Linked DNA regions of Rhinolophus ferrumequinum. The protein of the gene in region 1 purifies or fractionates together with the protein of each later gene. This does not show direct contact. Links are inferred from orthologs where the notes say so. Each region holds a gene or a part of one and is shown in the gene's direction. Other genes may lie near its edges.

Region 1 (7,441 bases):
CAGATTTTTAAATACAGTAAAATCAATTTTTTTGTGTGTGGCTTCTGGGGTTTGTGCGACAATTAAGACCTTTTTACACTGAGATGACTAACAAAGCTTCTTCCTTAGCTCCTGGCTGTATTTTTGTTTTAATTTTTTATATTTAAATTGTGAGTTCATCTGGAATTTATCACATACAAAATTCCCTCCTATTTTCCTAACATTTTTAATTGAAAACCTATCTTTTCTCAACAGATTTGAAATGCTATGCTTATCATGTACTAAATTCCTGCAAGTATTTGGATCGATTTCTAGATTTTTCTATCTTCCTATGACCTATGTGTGTCAGTATCCTTATTTCATTATTACATTTAATTATTATAGATTTGCTCTGTTTTAAAATTGGATAGGGTTACTCTCTACCTGTTACTCTTTATTTTCAGGTCTCCTGGCTATTCTTGCTTGTTTACTTTTCCATATGAGCTTTAAATCAGCTTTTCTATTCCTCCCCCACCAAAAAAATTTGTAATAATTTTTAACTGTAATAAATCTATAGATTAAGGAGAATTGACATCTTTATGAAGTATCTTTATACTCAGAATAAAGTGTCTGTCCCCTGGCCTCTACTTCTTTCAGATGGCACCAATGGCCAGTGACTCCCAAATTTGTACCTCTATTCTGAGGGTTGTTCCCATCTCAAGCATCTCCCCATGGATTGGGTGGCTCCCAATGTTACCCCCAAATCTGATCCTCCACTGTCCCCCAACTTAGTGAGTCCCCCCCCAGGACAAGGGTCAAGCCAGATCAAGGATCTAAAGTTGTCCTTGATCCCTCCCTGTCTGCCAAAAGTCATATCTAACGAGTGATTAAGTCATATTGGTGCTTTCAACAAATTTATTGAGGCAAAGCTGACATACAAGAAATCATGTATATGTACATTTTAAAAGGTACATTTTTTGACATGTATACATCCATAAGACCATTACCATCGGCAAGATAATGAACATATCCATCACCGCAGTAAGTATCCTCAAGCCCTTGATAATCACTCCCTCCCACCCTTTCCCACTTGCCAGCACCCCCAGGCAATCACCGACCTGTTTTCTGTCACTAAATTGGTGTTCTTTTACTACAATTTTCATATAAGTGTAATTATATAGTATGTACTCTTGTCTGGCTTCTTACATTCAGTATAAATTATTCTGAGATTCATCCATTATTGTTCTTGTTTATTGCTGAGTAGTATTCTAATATATGTAATTATATGTATATGTATATATACGTGATCAGAATTTTTTTATCCATTCAGTTTGTAGATAAACATTTGCTTGTTTCTCGTTTGGGCTATTACAAGTAAAACTGCTACTAATATTTATGCTACTAATATGTGGACATTTGCTTTTATTTTTCTTGGGTAAATGCCTAGGAGTAGAATGGGTGGGACATATGGTAAGTGTATGTTTAGCATTTTTTTTCTTTCTTTTTTTAAGGCAGATTTTATTTTTTAAAGCAGTTTTAGGCTTGCAGAAAAATTGCTCAGAAAATAGAATTCCCATATATTCCCCTCTCCCTCCCGCACACTCTTTCTTCTATTATTAACATCTTGCAATAGTGTGATGCATTTGTTACAATTGATGAACCAATACTGATACATTATTATTAACTAAAGTTCATAGTTTACCTTAGAGTTCCCTTTTGATGTACATTCTGTGGGTTTGTGACAGTATCATACAGAGTAGTTTCACTACCCAAAAAAATGTCCTGTGCTGCACCTACTTATCCCCCCCTGCTCTCCTGAACCTCCACAACCTCTGCTCTTTCTATTATCTCTAGTTTTGCCTTCCCCAGAATGTCATGTAGTTGAAATTATACAGTATGTCGTTTTTCATACTGGCTTCCTTTACTTAGCAATATGCATTTGGGGTCCCACCACCTTTCTGTAGCTTGATAGCTCATTTCTACTTATCACTGACTATATGTTTAACTTTTTAAGAAACTGCCAAACTGTTTCCCAGAGTGGTCATTCTGGGAATATCATTCTGAAATCTCATCAGCAGCGTACGAGAGTCCCAGCTCCTGTATTTATTTCCTTGCAAACACTTGGTATAGTCCGTCTTTTTAATTGTCCTAGTAGATGTGTAATGGTGGTCCTTCTAGTGGTTTTAATTCGCATTTCCCCAGTGAATGATGCGGTAAGCAGTTTTTCATGTCTTATTTGCCATCCATATAACTTCTTGGGTGAAATGTCTGTTCAAATCTTTCGCCCATTTTTATTGGATTATTTTTAAGTTGTAAATTATTTATATATTCTAAATACAAGTCCTTCATCAGATATAATTTTTTCAATTATTTCCTCCTAGTCTATGTCTTGTCTTTTCATTGTCATAATAGTACCTTTTGAAGAACAAGTGTTTTATTTTTATGAAGTTCAATTTAATTTTTTCTTGTATTGTTTGTGCTTTTTGTATCATAGTTAAGAAATCTTGGGCTGGCCCGGTGCCTCAGGCGGTTGGAGCTCCATGCTCCTAACTCGAGGGCTGCCGGTTCGATTCCCACATGGGCCAGTGGGCTCTCAACCACAAGGTTGCCAGTTCAACTCCTCCAGTCCCACAAGGGATGGTGGGCAGCGCCCCCTGCAACTAAGATTGAACACGGCACCTTGAGCTGAGCTGCCGCTGAGCTCCCGCTGAGCTCCCGGATGGCTCAGTTGGTTGGAGCGAATCCTCTCAACCACAAGGTTGCCAGTTCGACTCACGCAAGGGATGGTGGGCTGTGCCCCCTGCAACTAACAAGGGGCAACTGGACCTGGAGCTGAGCTGTGCCCTCCACAACGAAGATTGAAAGGACAACAAATTGACTTGGAAAATATCCTGGAAGTACACACTGTTCCCCAATAAAGTCTTGTTCCCCTTCCCCAACAAAATCTTTAAAAAAAAACAAGGAAAAAAAAAAAAAGAAATCTTTGCCAAACCCAAGATCATTAAGTATTTTGCCTATGCTTTCCTCTAGAAGCTTTATAGGTTTAGCATTTACATTTAGGTGTATAACCCAGTGTGAGTTATATTTTGATATGGTGTATCCTAAATAGTTATCAAATCCATCTACTTCTCTCTTGTGCCCACCACCTCCCTAGTTTGAGCCAACCATTCTCTTTCCCTGGTCTTTTATCTGGACTCCCTACTTCCACTCTCACCCCATCCAACCCACTCCCATGCATTCTCCTCCTTCATTTATATAAATCTGAGCAGTCTTCCACCTCAAGTAGAATAAAATCTAAATTCCCATGACTTACTCAGCCTTGTCTCTCTTTACTCAAGCAACACTAAGCATATTTCTGTTCTGCTGTGCCAAGGCAATCTCCCCCACTCCTGCCATAACTCCCTGTGTCTGATTTATGCCTACTCTAACCCCTACACTAGATAGGGATGCAGGTATGCGCTTCCTTAGTACCAAATCTTCTTCCCAAGTAATTTGGGGTAATAATTGAGTTGCTCTCTGCTTCTTTCAGAGGGGGCCGAGGCCATGGGTCTTCACTCTCTTATGCCCAGGGGATCACAGTGCCTTGCACATATGAGGTGGTAAGTGCCCATTTGATGAACAATGGAATGCAGTCAGGAGTGACAGGTTTATGAAAGTAATTCTGGGGATTGTGGCACAGATAGCTTGAGCCAGAGTGCTTTGGCGGGAGGTGTAACCTTTGCTACCATCTGTCCAGAGCATCTTTCTTCTCCCAGGCCCCTGCTCCCTGTGATCTAATCACAAGGAAGGAATACTTAGTTTCCCTCATTGGCATGTGTGCCCTTGGCCTCTGGACCTTTGCACATGGTGTTCTTTCTGCTAGGGACACCTTTTCCAGCACCTCACTACCTACCGTGTTTCCCCGAAAATAAGACCTAGCCAAACCATCAGCTCTAATGTGTCTTTTGGAGCAAAAATTAATATAAGACCCGGTCTTATCTTATATTATGTTAGATAAGACCCGGTCTTATATTAATTTTTGTTCCAAAAGATTGATTAGAGCTGCTGGTCCGGCTAGGTCTTATTTTAGGGGAAACACGGTAGTTAACTCCTACTTGTCCATCAGGAATTATTTTTCTTAATCCCCAAAACTGGACCAGGAGAGCCCTCTCCCCCAGCAGGGGCTGGTCTGCCTAGTCATGGGTGTCTGCTGTGCAAAGACCTGCCAGAAGGGTTTAGTCACTATTGGACACACAAATGCTGAATTGTGAAAAGCAAACTGCCCAGGAGCTGGTTCCGGCCCTGACTCACCAGGTGAGGTAGCTCAGCGAGACACACCCTCGCAGGCCTCAATTTTCTTCATATGTAAACTGGGAGCAACAGTGGGGTCAGATTAGATGAGTGGCTCAACCTTGTTGGGGTCACAGGTCGTAAAATCCTGAGAGCCATGCACCGTTTGCCCAACAAAATATTTGTGTACACATCCTGTAAGAGCTACAACAGCGGCTAGGCTAGTGTCCCCAAAGTCAGAGAAAGGACCTGAAGAGGAGGAACCACAGGAGTACCCCAACCCCCAATTTCTTTTCTTAGCTCTTCCACTTCTTACAGTTCCGTAGGCAGGATCTCCCGTTCTAGGTGGGCCTACAGTCCGGCTCGCAGCCTCTGCCGCCCCCTCCAGGGTAAGACCACACATGGGCGCTCCCAGGAGAGTGGGTCGAGGGCTAAGGGGAAAAGGGAGGATGTCTGCCTCTCGCAGTTTGCCGGTTTAAGAAACCCCACAGCGCAAGAGGAAAGTGGGCCCCTACAGTTGTTCACCTCCGTCCCATTCGCTGCACGAACCGGGAAGCCAAGGCCGACAGAGGCAGGCACTCACCCAAGGTCATACAACAAGGCGCGGCCTAGGGGGCCAGTTTCCTGCTCCCGGCCCGGATTCACGGAGCCGCTAAGTCGGAGTGGCGGTTCTGGGAGCCTCTTCCCCAGGTAGCCAGGGTGGGGAGTCGGCCCCGCACGAGAAGCCGGCTGCAGCTGCTGCAGAGCGGACCGAGCCAGGTGGGGCTGCCGTTTGCCGAGCGTCCGGCAGGGGTCCACTCACCGCCAGCCCGGACCCTCCGCCGAGCAGCTGCTGCCGCCGGAGGTAATCTCAGCTCCGCGCTGGGGACCCACTGGGGGTGGGGGTGGGGGGTAAGGATGGCTGTGGCCGTGTGGAGGAGGGGCCCAAGGGAGGAGCCCAAGGGGCGGGGGACAGGCTGGGGGCTGCCAGAGGCGTTGCCGCCGCGGCCCAGCGCCCGGGAATGCCCTCCAGGGCTGCAGTGTCGGGTGGGGCCGCCCGGCCCTGCAACTCGAGCTGCTGCCCCTGGTTAAAAATACCCCCTGCCCTGCCCTGCCCCCCCCGCAGTGCCCTTCCGTCTCGGCCCCAGCCTTCCCCACCCAACAGGCGCTGGCCCCTCCCCAGGGACAACTCTGCCTTTTACTAATTTGTCCTCGCGGAGTTGGCCGTGGGCCTGCGGAGGGAGGGGCAGGGAGACACCGTGAGTAAGAGAGATACAGAAGGTGCCCCAGAGATAAGGGAGATAGAGAGGAAGCGGGTAGGAGCCGGAGGAGGAGGAGGAGAAGGAGAAGAAGAAGGAGGGAGGGAGGAGGGCGGAGGGGCAGCGGGAGGAGGGCGGGGAGGAGCGCTCTTCCTGGTTGGGCCCTGCCCTGAGCTGCCACCCGGGAAGCCAGCCGCAGGACCACAGCGACCCCCCAAAACACTCCTCCTCCAGGTAAGGAGCTGGGTGGCGGGGCCAGGATTTCCGATCCTGGCCACTGCTCCCGGGCTGAGAGGCTGCCCCTGCCCTGGGCTCTCTGAGCGCCCGCCGGGTACAGGGGCGGGGGCCCTTGAAGCCCTACAGCCCAGGAGCCTGCCCTAGCTGCCTCTAAAGGCTGGGCTGGGGGAAAGCCGGGAGGGGAAAAGAATGAGGCCCCGTGCCCTGATCACCCAACCTGTCTCAGGGGCTTGGGAGGGGACCCTGACTGCCTGTCGTTTTCAGCCCCAAAGCCAGGGAAAGGGGCCAGTGGGTAGGAGCTTGGCTAGTATGAGGGGATTGCAGGCAGGCAAACGGTCAGAGGCGTTTCCTGAGATCTCCCACCTTGCCGGTTCCTTGTGTTATCCCGAGCTCAGCCCTGCCCCACCTAGCTGGCTGGCCTAGGACAGTAAGCATCTAGGAAAGGAGAGGTGGTAGCATTGTGTGGGTGTAGGGAGATGGTGGCCAGCACAACCCCAGCTTGGAAAGCCCCTCTCCTGGGAGCAGAGGCCAGTGGCGAGTCCTGAGTTCTAGGTTTAGGGAGGAAGGGTAGGCAGGGGCAGGCAGGAGCCCCCTGAGTTCTAGTCCTGGGAAGGCCTGAGTTCTGAGCAGACCCATCTGTCTTGTAGCATGGCTGAGGAGTTTATCACCCCAGTGTATTGCACTGGGGTGTCTGCACAAGTGCAGAAGCAGCGGGCCAAGGAGCTGGGCCTGGGCCGCCATGAAAACGCCATCAAGTACCTGGGCCAGGATTACGAGCAGCTGCGGGCTCAATGTCTGCAGAGTGGGGCCCTCTTCCGTGATGACGCCTTTCCCCCAGTGCCCCAGAGCCTGGGCTTCAAGGAGCTGGGCCCCAACTCCTCCAAAACCTATGGCATCAGGTGGAAGCGTCCCACGGTGAGAGGGGCTACCCTGGGTGAGGAATGGGAACAGGACTCCAGGTCCCTAATGGGGAGTGGGGTGGCTGGGTTCCACTTTCTGTGAGGGGCTGGCCCAGAGACAGGACTCTGGGTCTCTTGCAGGAGATGCTCTCCAACCCCCAGTTCATCGTGGATGGAGCCACCCGCACAGATATCTGCCAGGGAGCGCTGGGTAGGCCCTAAGGGGTTCTGGATGTTTTTTCCATAGGAGTTCCCCATGCCCATTCCTTCTGGCTTTGCCCCAACCCCTCCCTCCTGCAAGCCCAGGCAGGCTCTGGCTATCAGTGTTGGGGCTGGTTTGCCCAGATTCCTGGGTTTTTTCCGTAAGTTGAGGGGTATACTTCCCAGGGATCCCCGGGTTCTCCCCAGCATGGGTACGCATGTGCCCCACCAGGAGCAGTTCAGTACAGCAACCTGATGTGAGTCTCCCATCCCAGGGGACTGTTGGCTCCTGGCTGCCATTGCCTCTCTCACCCTCAATGACACCCTCCTGCACCGAGTGGTTCCACATGGCCAAAGCTTCCAGGATGGCTATGCCGGTATCTTTCATTTCCAGGTGAGGAACAGGGTGGGGGAGAGAGTGGTAGCAGGCACTAGAGGAGGTAAGGACTGATGACCCACTGCAGTCTGAAGTTAGGGGGCCTCAGGGCCACACCCTGCAGGGGTCAACCCTCCCTCTAGAAAGTATTTGACCTCTGGGTGCCATCTTGGATCCGTCATGTATGAAATGGCTGGGCAGGTATTTTGGCTGGCAGTTCTCCTGGGTGGTTATGTGTATTGGGGACAAAGTGCTTGGAAGAG
Region 2 (7,588 bases), on another chromosome or scaffold:
GAAGAAACTTTAGAACTCAGTGGCTTAATAAGTCTATATTTTAATTCACACTACAGTCCAATGTAAGTCAGTGGGGTCACTCTGCTCCACAGAGTCTAGCAGAGACCCAGGCTCCTTCCATGTTGTGGCTCTGCCCACCTCTAGGTCCTCAGAGTCCCCTCTGTTGAGCCCATGGATGTTGAAAAAAGTGAAGACCACTTGTGGGAGGTTTTTAAGGTCAAGCCTGGAGACTGGATATGACACATCAGCTCACATGCCGTTGGCCTTAAGTCGGTTACATATCCATACAAAATTGCAATAGATGACGGGAAATGTAATTCTTGTGTGGAAGAAAAAAGGGGAGCAGTTTTAGTCAAGCAATTAGCCAATCTCTGCCACATATTTTGGGACATGCTTTATCTGAAAATAGAGAAGGGTTACATTGTTTATTTATTTCCTTGTTTATTGTGTGTCTTCCTCTGCTAGGACATAAGCCCCGGGAGTTTTGTTCACCACTACATCCCCATCACACATCTGGGCGCCTGGATTTAGTAGGCACTCAATAAATGTGTGTTGAATGAATGAATGAATGAATGAAAAAAATTCTAGTAACTTTCAGAGGATGGAATATTATGAAAACACAAAAAATTATATTTTTAGGGACATGGGAAATTGCTCTCAGGGTGTATACGAGTATAATAAATCTCTTTCTTTCTCTCCCTATGGCCTGTTAGTTCTTTCTCTGGAGAACCCTGACTAATACACCATTGAAGGGAGGGCAGAGGAGGTACAGTAATCTGGAATAGTCATCACATAACTATTTGGCATCAACCATGCTTGGGTTTAGACCTGGCTCTGCCATGCCGCAGGCAAATGACTCCACCTCTCTGAACCTCCACTTCCTCTCATGTTAGTTCCTTTTTCAGAAGGTTGTGAGAGGCCTTCCAAGACGTACCTGTAAATTACTTATTCTAATCTGGTCCCATCAAGCCCTCAGGAGGCATTAGTTAGGACAGTCATGACTATTGTGAGTTTCCTACTTGGTAGCATTGTAACATTAATATAATTGAGGCAGCAAATTGTGAGGATTAAAAGCATGAGCTACAAAGCCAGCTTTCCTGGGTCTGAATCTTGACTCTAGTATTTATTAGCTGTGTAATCTTGGACAAGTAATTCCATTTTTCTGGTTTCCTCATGGACATCATAACAACATCTACTTGCAACAGTCAGAATAGGCTAGGTTACACTGTGGTAACAAATGAGCCCTAGATCTTAGTGGACTAACACCTCAAAATTTATTTCTTGCTCACAGAAACAGGCACAAGTCCTCCATGCCATGGCTCCGTGATCCGGGTAGCTTCCTTTGTGCAGCAGCTCTGTGTTTGCATAGCTCTCCCAAGGTTGCCTAGGAAGGAGGTAAGAGCCCGGAGCATCCTGCACTGGCTTTAAATGCTACACTGGGAAGTGACACTTCCAACATTTCCACTCACATTTCATTGGTCAAAACAAGTCACATAACCATGCCTGAGTTTAAAGGAGTCCGGAAGATGGTGGAAGACTTTAGTAATGCTTGCTGTACTATCTCATTGACGGTGCTGAAAATTCAATGAGAAAATCCACACAAAGTATTTCATACATTCAACAAATACCTATGTACCTAAGATGTTCTGGGCACTGTTCTGGGAACTGGGTACATAGCTGTGAACAAGACATACAGAAATCCCTGCCCTTGAAGAGCTCACATTCTAGTGGGGGAGAGAGACAAGAAACTAGGTAAATAAGTAAACCACTCAGTACGTTAGCAGGTGATAAAGAGCAGTGTGGAGTGGGATAGGGAGTGTGGGGCTTCCTGAGGTCACTAGATGTGCATACTTGAGGCACTGAGGTGGGGCTAGAGAGGGCCTTGGTAATGGAGTAGCGGCCCCCTGCTTAGACATTGATGTGCTGGCAGAGCCTCCTCCTCTGTGTCTTGTCCGTGTTCAGCTGGGAACATCCAGGTCAAGCTGCCAGTAGGGCTTCTTCCCACTTTCTTAAGAGGGAGGAGATGAGGGCAGAGAGGAGACAGAACAGAGCACTAGAGACTTGGTGCCCATGGTGAGGCCTTTGACTCTTATCTGGAGTGAGGTGCAGTCTAGGAAGGGCTATGAGCCAGGTGGGCCCTGACCTGACACGGGTTCACATGCTCCCTTTGGTTGCCTGTGGGGAGCAGACTGTGGGGACAGGGATGTGAGCAGGAGACTGGGGAGGAGGTGCCCGTGAGGTCCAGGAGGCAGAGGATGGAGGTGGGGGTTGGGGAGGAGTGGAGGAGGAGAAGAGTTTAGATTATGTAGGTAGAGTCGAAGAGGTTTGCTGATGGGTTGGAGTGGGTGTGAAAGAGGTCAAGGATGACCCTGGGGTGTTTGGTCTCAGCCACTGGAAGGACAGAGATGCCATTAACCTAGGTGGGGAAGGTGGGGAGGAAGCAGGTTTGGGAGGAAGGTCAGGAGCTGTTTAGGATGTGTGAAACCTGAGGCACCTCTAAGACCCCTATACAGACGGTGAGTAGGATGCAAGATATAGGAGGTTGGAGACGCCTGGGCTGAAGATAGAAATTTGGGTATTGATAGCCTAGGGATGGAATTTAAGCTACGCATGTGAGGGAGATCCTCTATGGCTTCAGTGGGTTAGAGAGGTGGACCAAGGCCTAAGACCTGGAGTTGGCCAGGGTTAAAGGTCGGGGACACAGACCTGGACCACAATATGATTGTAATTGGCAGTGAGTGCTAAGAGAAAGAACAAGTTACAAGCATGTAACTGGACGCCACACCTACTCTCAGATGGGGGTGGAGACAGGGAGGGCTTCCCAGGAGAGGTAACACCTCAGCTGACACCCAAAGCCTGAGGAGATACAAAACCAGGTGAAAAAGGGAGAAAGTGTTCCAGGTAGATGGCACAGTCCATATTGAAGGCCTGGCAGCAAGTGAGCCCTGGAGAGGGCAGAGAACAGAAGCTGCTCAGTCTGGCAGGGAAGGGTGTGGTGAGACGGGAATCTGGATTAGTCATCACCAAGAGTTTTGGCATGAGCCAAGCCTAGCTTCAGACCTGGTCATGACACCCTCTGTGACCTCAGGCAAGTGACCCTGCCTTCAGAGCCTCCATTTTCTCTCCTATTAGTTCCTGCCTCATAGACAAGGCTTGTGTAGGAGTTCCTTGACCTGGCCCCAGCAAGCCCTCAGGAAGTATTAGCTGTTGACTGTGGGTTTTGTCTATTTTGATCTTATCTGAGCTATTTTCATATTAATTATATTATTGAAGAATCAGTTCATTAGGGTAGTGGTTACCAGTACGAGCTAGGGAGTTTAACTTCAGAGGTAGTTTACTTATTTGTAAAATGGAGAGTGTGTAGCATCCATCCCATAAAAGTTATGAGGATATATGAGCTGATACATGTAAAGTGGTTAGGAGAGTGCGTGGCAGTTATTTTTATCAGTATTATCTAAGGATGAGCAAGAGTCAACCAACTGAGGAATCCAGGTGAGCAGGAGGGAAGAGCGTGGTTACAGACACAGGATAAGAGCTACTATTTACTAAGCTTTAATCACTTAATTATGATAGGGGCCTTGTGAGGGGGCCATGGGAAAACTTGTTCCCATTTTACAGATTAGAAGATCTTTGCGTAGAGACTTCAAATCACTTTTTCGTATTTCAGTTATTAGGGAGCAGAAGCAGGATTCAAACAAGCCTAGCCAGCCTCCAGGGGAGAGGCTAATGGCCAGATGGCCAGACTGCCCAGTAGCTAGATTTAGCTCCTTCTGAAGAGCCCTGAAAAAGTACTGGATGTGCACAGGTTGGAGTCTGGAACCGGAGAGCAACAGAAAGGATTCTAAAGGCAGGTTGAGTTACCACTTTCCCTACGTTTCTTCATTTCGCGCCCATCACCCGACTTTGGGAAGGGTAGCCTGGGACACCAGGTCTTGGCCGACACTCTTCCTATGTCCGGGCTCCACTTTAGAGACTGAGGTGACACTTTGGGCCTCTTCAGGAAAAATTATTCTGGTGACCCTGACTTGGGGGTGAAGGAATGCGGGTGGAGGGCACAAGGCCGCTTTCTTAGGCGGCGAAGTCCTACCCGCAGTCTGACTACCATCCTGGCTACTACAAGGTCCGGGAAAAGCTAGTCTACCCTTAGTCATTGCCAGATGCGGATGCTTGTTCCCGGACTGTGAGCCAAATAAAACTCGGGGTCTTAGGATGTTGTCTGTCGCAACAAGGCCAGGATAGGGGCCGGGTGCCAAGAGTCCCGTTTCGAGCCGACAGAAAATCACATCTGTAGCCGGGTGGAGGCCGGCTTCGGGGCGACCATTCCCATTACAACCTGCGGTGTCACTCTGGAGTTCTCGTCCCCGGGTGTCTTCACCGGGCTGGCGAGATGTAGGGACAACCTCAGACCTATGAAGTCACGGCCGGGATACAGCCCGCGGCGCCGGAAGAATGCTGGGCTGGGCCCGGGCGGTCTCATCCCGTTAGCAAGGCCGGGCCCGCGCGCGCAGGCGCAGTTTCAAGGACCGCGCTAGGACCGCGCGGATGCTGTCTGGGCGGCCCCCGAGAGCCTAACCCGGTCAAAGTCGCCTGAGTCACGGGCCCCGCCCTACCAAGCCGGACACAGCCAGAGGCCCGGGAGCAGCGCAGAGGAGCGGACCAGCGGACGTGTAAGACAGGCGGTGAGCGCCCGGGCCAGACCCCCCTGTACTCCGTAATCCCGGCCTTTACGGCTCCCAGACCCTACAAGACCCTAAAGTCCCGGCTAGATCCGTGCTCCCAGTTCTAATGGAGAACCCCGTTATCCCGGGCCCGGGGCTTACACCCACCATCTTGGACCGGAGCCCACAGACCCGGCGGTGACACTGTAATCCCGCTGCTGGGAGTACCTAAACCTTCAAACCCACATCCTGGATTTCCCAAACCTTGTCCCGGGGGCCTCCAGGCCGAGAATCTGATCCACGCCCCTGAACCGCCCAAGACCCTTAGTTCAGTTCTTGGGCTCTGGGACTCAGATTTGGGCGTCCAGACACGTCCAGGATGCCTTATACCAACTTGGGACCCCCGAGAACCCAACCAGACCTGGACCCCTACCCTTAATGATGCCTATGTGTAGACTCAATCCAGGCCTCTCAAGTCTGACCGGGACCCTTTCAGTCTGGAGGAGGTTTCATACTTGATCCTCTGTCCCTATCGCACCCACCCGAGAACTGCTCTCCTTCAGAAGCCCAGACCCCATCCCGAATGGACTCTTCAAGCCCCAGCCGGAAGATTGGTCCTCCCCTAGAGGCCTCATATTACTGCCTACGTCCAGCTGCCAGAAATGCGTATTTTTGTGGGGAGGGGGCGGGCTCTGGGCGAGGAGGCCAGCTGACCCCTTTTTCCTCCTTAGGAACTTTGAGTCGTAGCCATGTTCCTGGTTAACTCGTTCTTGAAAGGCGGCGGTGGAGGGGGAGGCGGAGGCCTGGGCGGGGGCCTGGGGAATGTACTCGGAGGCCTGATCAGCGGGGCCGGAGGCGGCGGCGGAGGCGGTGGCGGCGGCGGCGGCGGCGGCATCGGCGGCATCGGCGGCGGCGGCGGCGGTGGTGGAACTGCCATGCGCATCCTGGGCGGGGTCATTAGCGCCATCAGGTAGGGCGGGGCCTGAGGGGGCGGGGTCTGGCGGAGGAGGCTTGTCCGGGAAGAATAGAATGGGGTAACCTGGAGATTGACCTGGAGCCTTAATTAGGCTGGGCGGGACCTGGGCTGGGAGGCCAGCCTTGAGGGGGCGGGCCCTAATGAGGCTGACCGCAGTTTATGAGGGCGGGGCTTGACATGATTTTTAGGGAGACGCGATTGACTGTTGATGGGTCCCGGCAGGGGTTTAGGAGGTGGGGCTTAGGGAGGCTGGATATCGCCTGCTTCCGCTAATCTGGAAACGAACGTTAAGGGGGCGGAGCCAGTGAGGCTGGGTGTCACTTCGTGGGGGCAAGGCTTGTCAAGTGGGCTTGGTGTGGACTTTTAAGTGGATAAATGAGAAGTTGCGCCCTGAAGAGGCCGAGGCCTACTGAGATAGGAGAAACGGTTTTGAAGGGGCACGGCATTACCGGAAACTGGCTGGATTAAAATAGAAAAATGTCGTAGTGGAAGTAGGGCAGGTTGTCTAATTCGCCTAATTAGGGACCTAATTAGTCTTGGCCACTGAGCAGTGATCCCTCGAAGGGGCAGGAAATAATGGGGCTGGGGTGGGATGTTGGGAAGACACAAGCATTCAGGAAGCCCTAGGGATGGAGTAGGTTCCTAGACAGACATGGAACCTGAGGAGGGCGGGGCCCCGCGAAGCTGGGGCAGCTTTTATAGAGTACGCCCTTCAGGGGGCTGGGTCTATTGAGGAATCTTGGTAGGAGTGGAGCCCACCGTAGGGGGCTGAGCCTGTTAGTTTCCTCGCAGGTGCAATCAGGGCAGCAAGGATAGGGACACGTGAGGACAAGGACAGATAAGGCAGGCCAAGGGTGGCAGGCTGGGGTTTGGGGAGGTTGAGGTGTGGGGGCTGGCGCTGCCAGTTGGACGCCCCGCCCCCTGGCGCTAATTCCCGTTTCCCTCCAGCGAGGCGGCTGCGCAGTACAACCCAGAGCCCCCGGTAAGCCGACCTCCACAACTGATGACTTCTCACTAAGAGGCCTTTTCCAGCATCCCTCCATGTCCCTTTAGAAAAGCCCCTCTCCCTCTTATGATATCCCTCTTACTAAGTCTCTCCCTTTCCATGTCCTCAAACTTAGCTATTACCTACTCCCTGTTCACTGACCACCTCTCATTCCTTTGATCACTCAGCTACACTGCCCACTCTGACTTTCCCACCTAGGCCTGTACTGCCCCTCCCCTTACTTGCTCTGAGATCTTCTCCCTCTGTAGCCCCCACGAACCCATTACTCCAATGTCGAGGCCAATGAGAGTGAGGAAGTCCGGCAGTTCCGGAGGCTATTTGCCCAGCTGGCTGGAGAGGTAAGTAACCCGGGGTCCCCAGACCTGTCCTAACCCTTCCATGCCTTCCCTTGGATGGCCCTTGCACATACACACTCAACCATGGCAATCCAAAAGTTCCTATCCTCCTTCATGACACTCCTAGACCCCTTTCAGTCACCCCTGATCTACCCCTAATTTCTCCCTGCAGGACATGGAGGTCAGCGCCACAGAACTCATGAACATTCTCAACAAGGTCGTGACCCGACGTGAGTGACTAGGGTCAACCCATAGGGCAGGTTTAGAGGCATGGCAGCTGGGGTAGCTGTGACCTCTGGCCTCTGTCAACCTGTCCCCTACAGACCCAGATCTGAAGACTGATGGTTTTGGCATTGACACATGTCGCAGCATGGTGGCCGTGATGGATGTATCCTTAAGGGCAGTATGGGAGAGGCCTTGTGTGAAGAGGGAGTTTTCTGCGAGCATGAGTGGGAGCCAGGATGTAGCTTTCATAAAAAGTGGAAGGATAGGAATTTGGATTCAGGTCTTCGGGGCTTAAGAACCCAAGCTTATTATAACTGCCATAGGTATGTGCACATGCGTATGTGTGCCAGGGTACACCCATATGCGTGAAGATATATGCACAGGAAAA

The links. The genes of interacting proteins can lie anywhere in the genome.
Region 2: the proteins of CAPN1 (region 1) and CAPNS1 purify together in Homo sapiens (co-immunoprecipitation; 4 studies listed by BioGRID and IntAct, counting the BioPlex papers as one, with this or other methods). This does not show direct contact. The link is inferred for Rhinolophus ferrumequinum from reciprocal best matches to the Homo sapiens genes CAPN1 and CAPNS1.

Annotation. Positions count from the first base shown.
Region 1 is NC_046294.1:6,445,213-6,452,653, reverse strand, and holds the start of CAPN1 (calpain-1 catalytic subunit), read left to right. Parts: upstream 1-4,439; 5' UTR 4,440-5,071; intron 5,072-5,551; exon of another isoform or gene 5,552-5,699; intron 5,700-6,349; 5' UTR 6,350-6,350; coding exon 6,351-6,617; intron 6,618-6,742; coding exon 6,743-6,812; intron 6,813-7,077; coding exon 7,078-7,196; intron 7,197-7,441. UniProt on the Homo sapiens protein: Calcium-regulated non-lysosomal thiol-protease which catalyzes limited proteolysis of substrates involved in cytoskeletal remodeling and signal transduction. Proteolytically cleaves CTBP1 at 'Asn-375', 'Gly-387' and 'His-409'.
Region 2 is NC_046298.1:36,387,380-36,394,967, forward strand, and holds the start of CAPNS1 (calpain small subunit 1), read left to right. Parts: upstream 1-4,575; 5' UTR 4,576-4,679; intron 4,680-5,389; 5' UTR 5,390-5,407; coding exon 5,408-5,628; intron 5,629-6,582; coding exon 6,583-6,616; intron 6,617-6,888; coding exon 6,889-6,978; intron 6,979-7,147; coding exon 7,148-7,205; intron 7,206-7,298; coding exon 7,299-7,363; intron 7,364-7,588. UniProt on the Homo sapiens protein: Regulatory subunit of the calcium-regulated non-lysosomal thiol-protease which catalyzes limited proteolysis of substrates involved in cytoskeletal remodeling and signal transduction. Essential for embryonic development.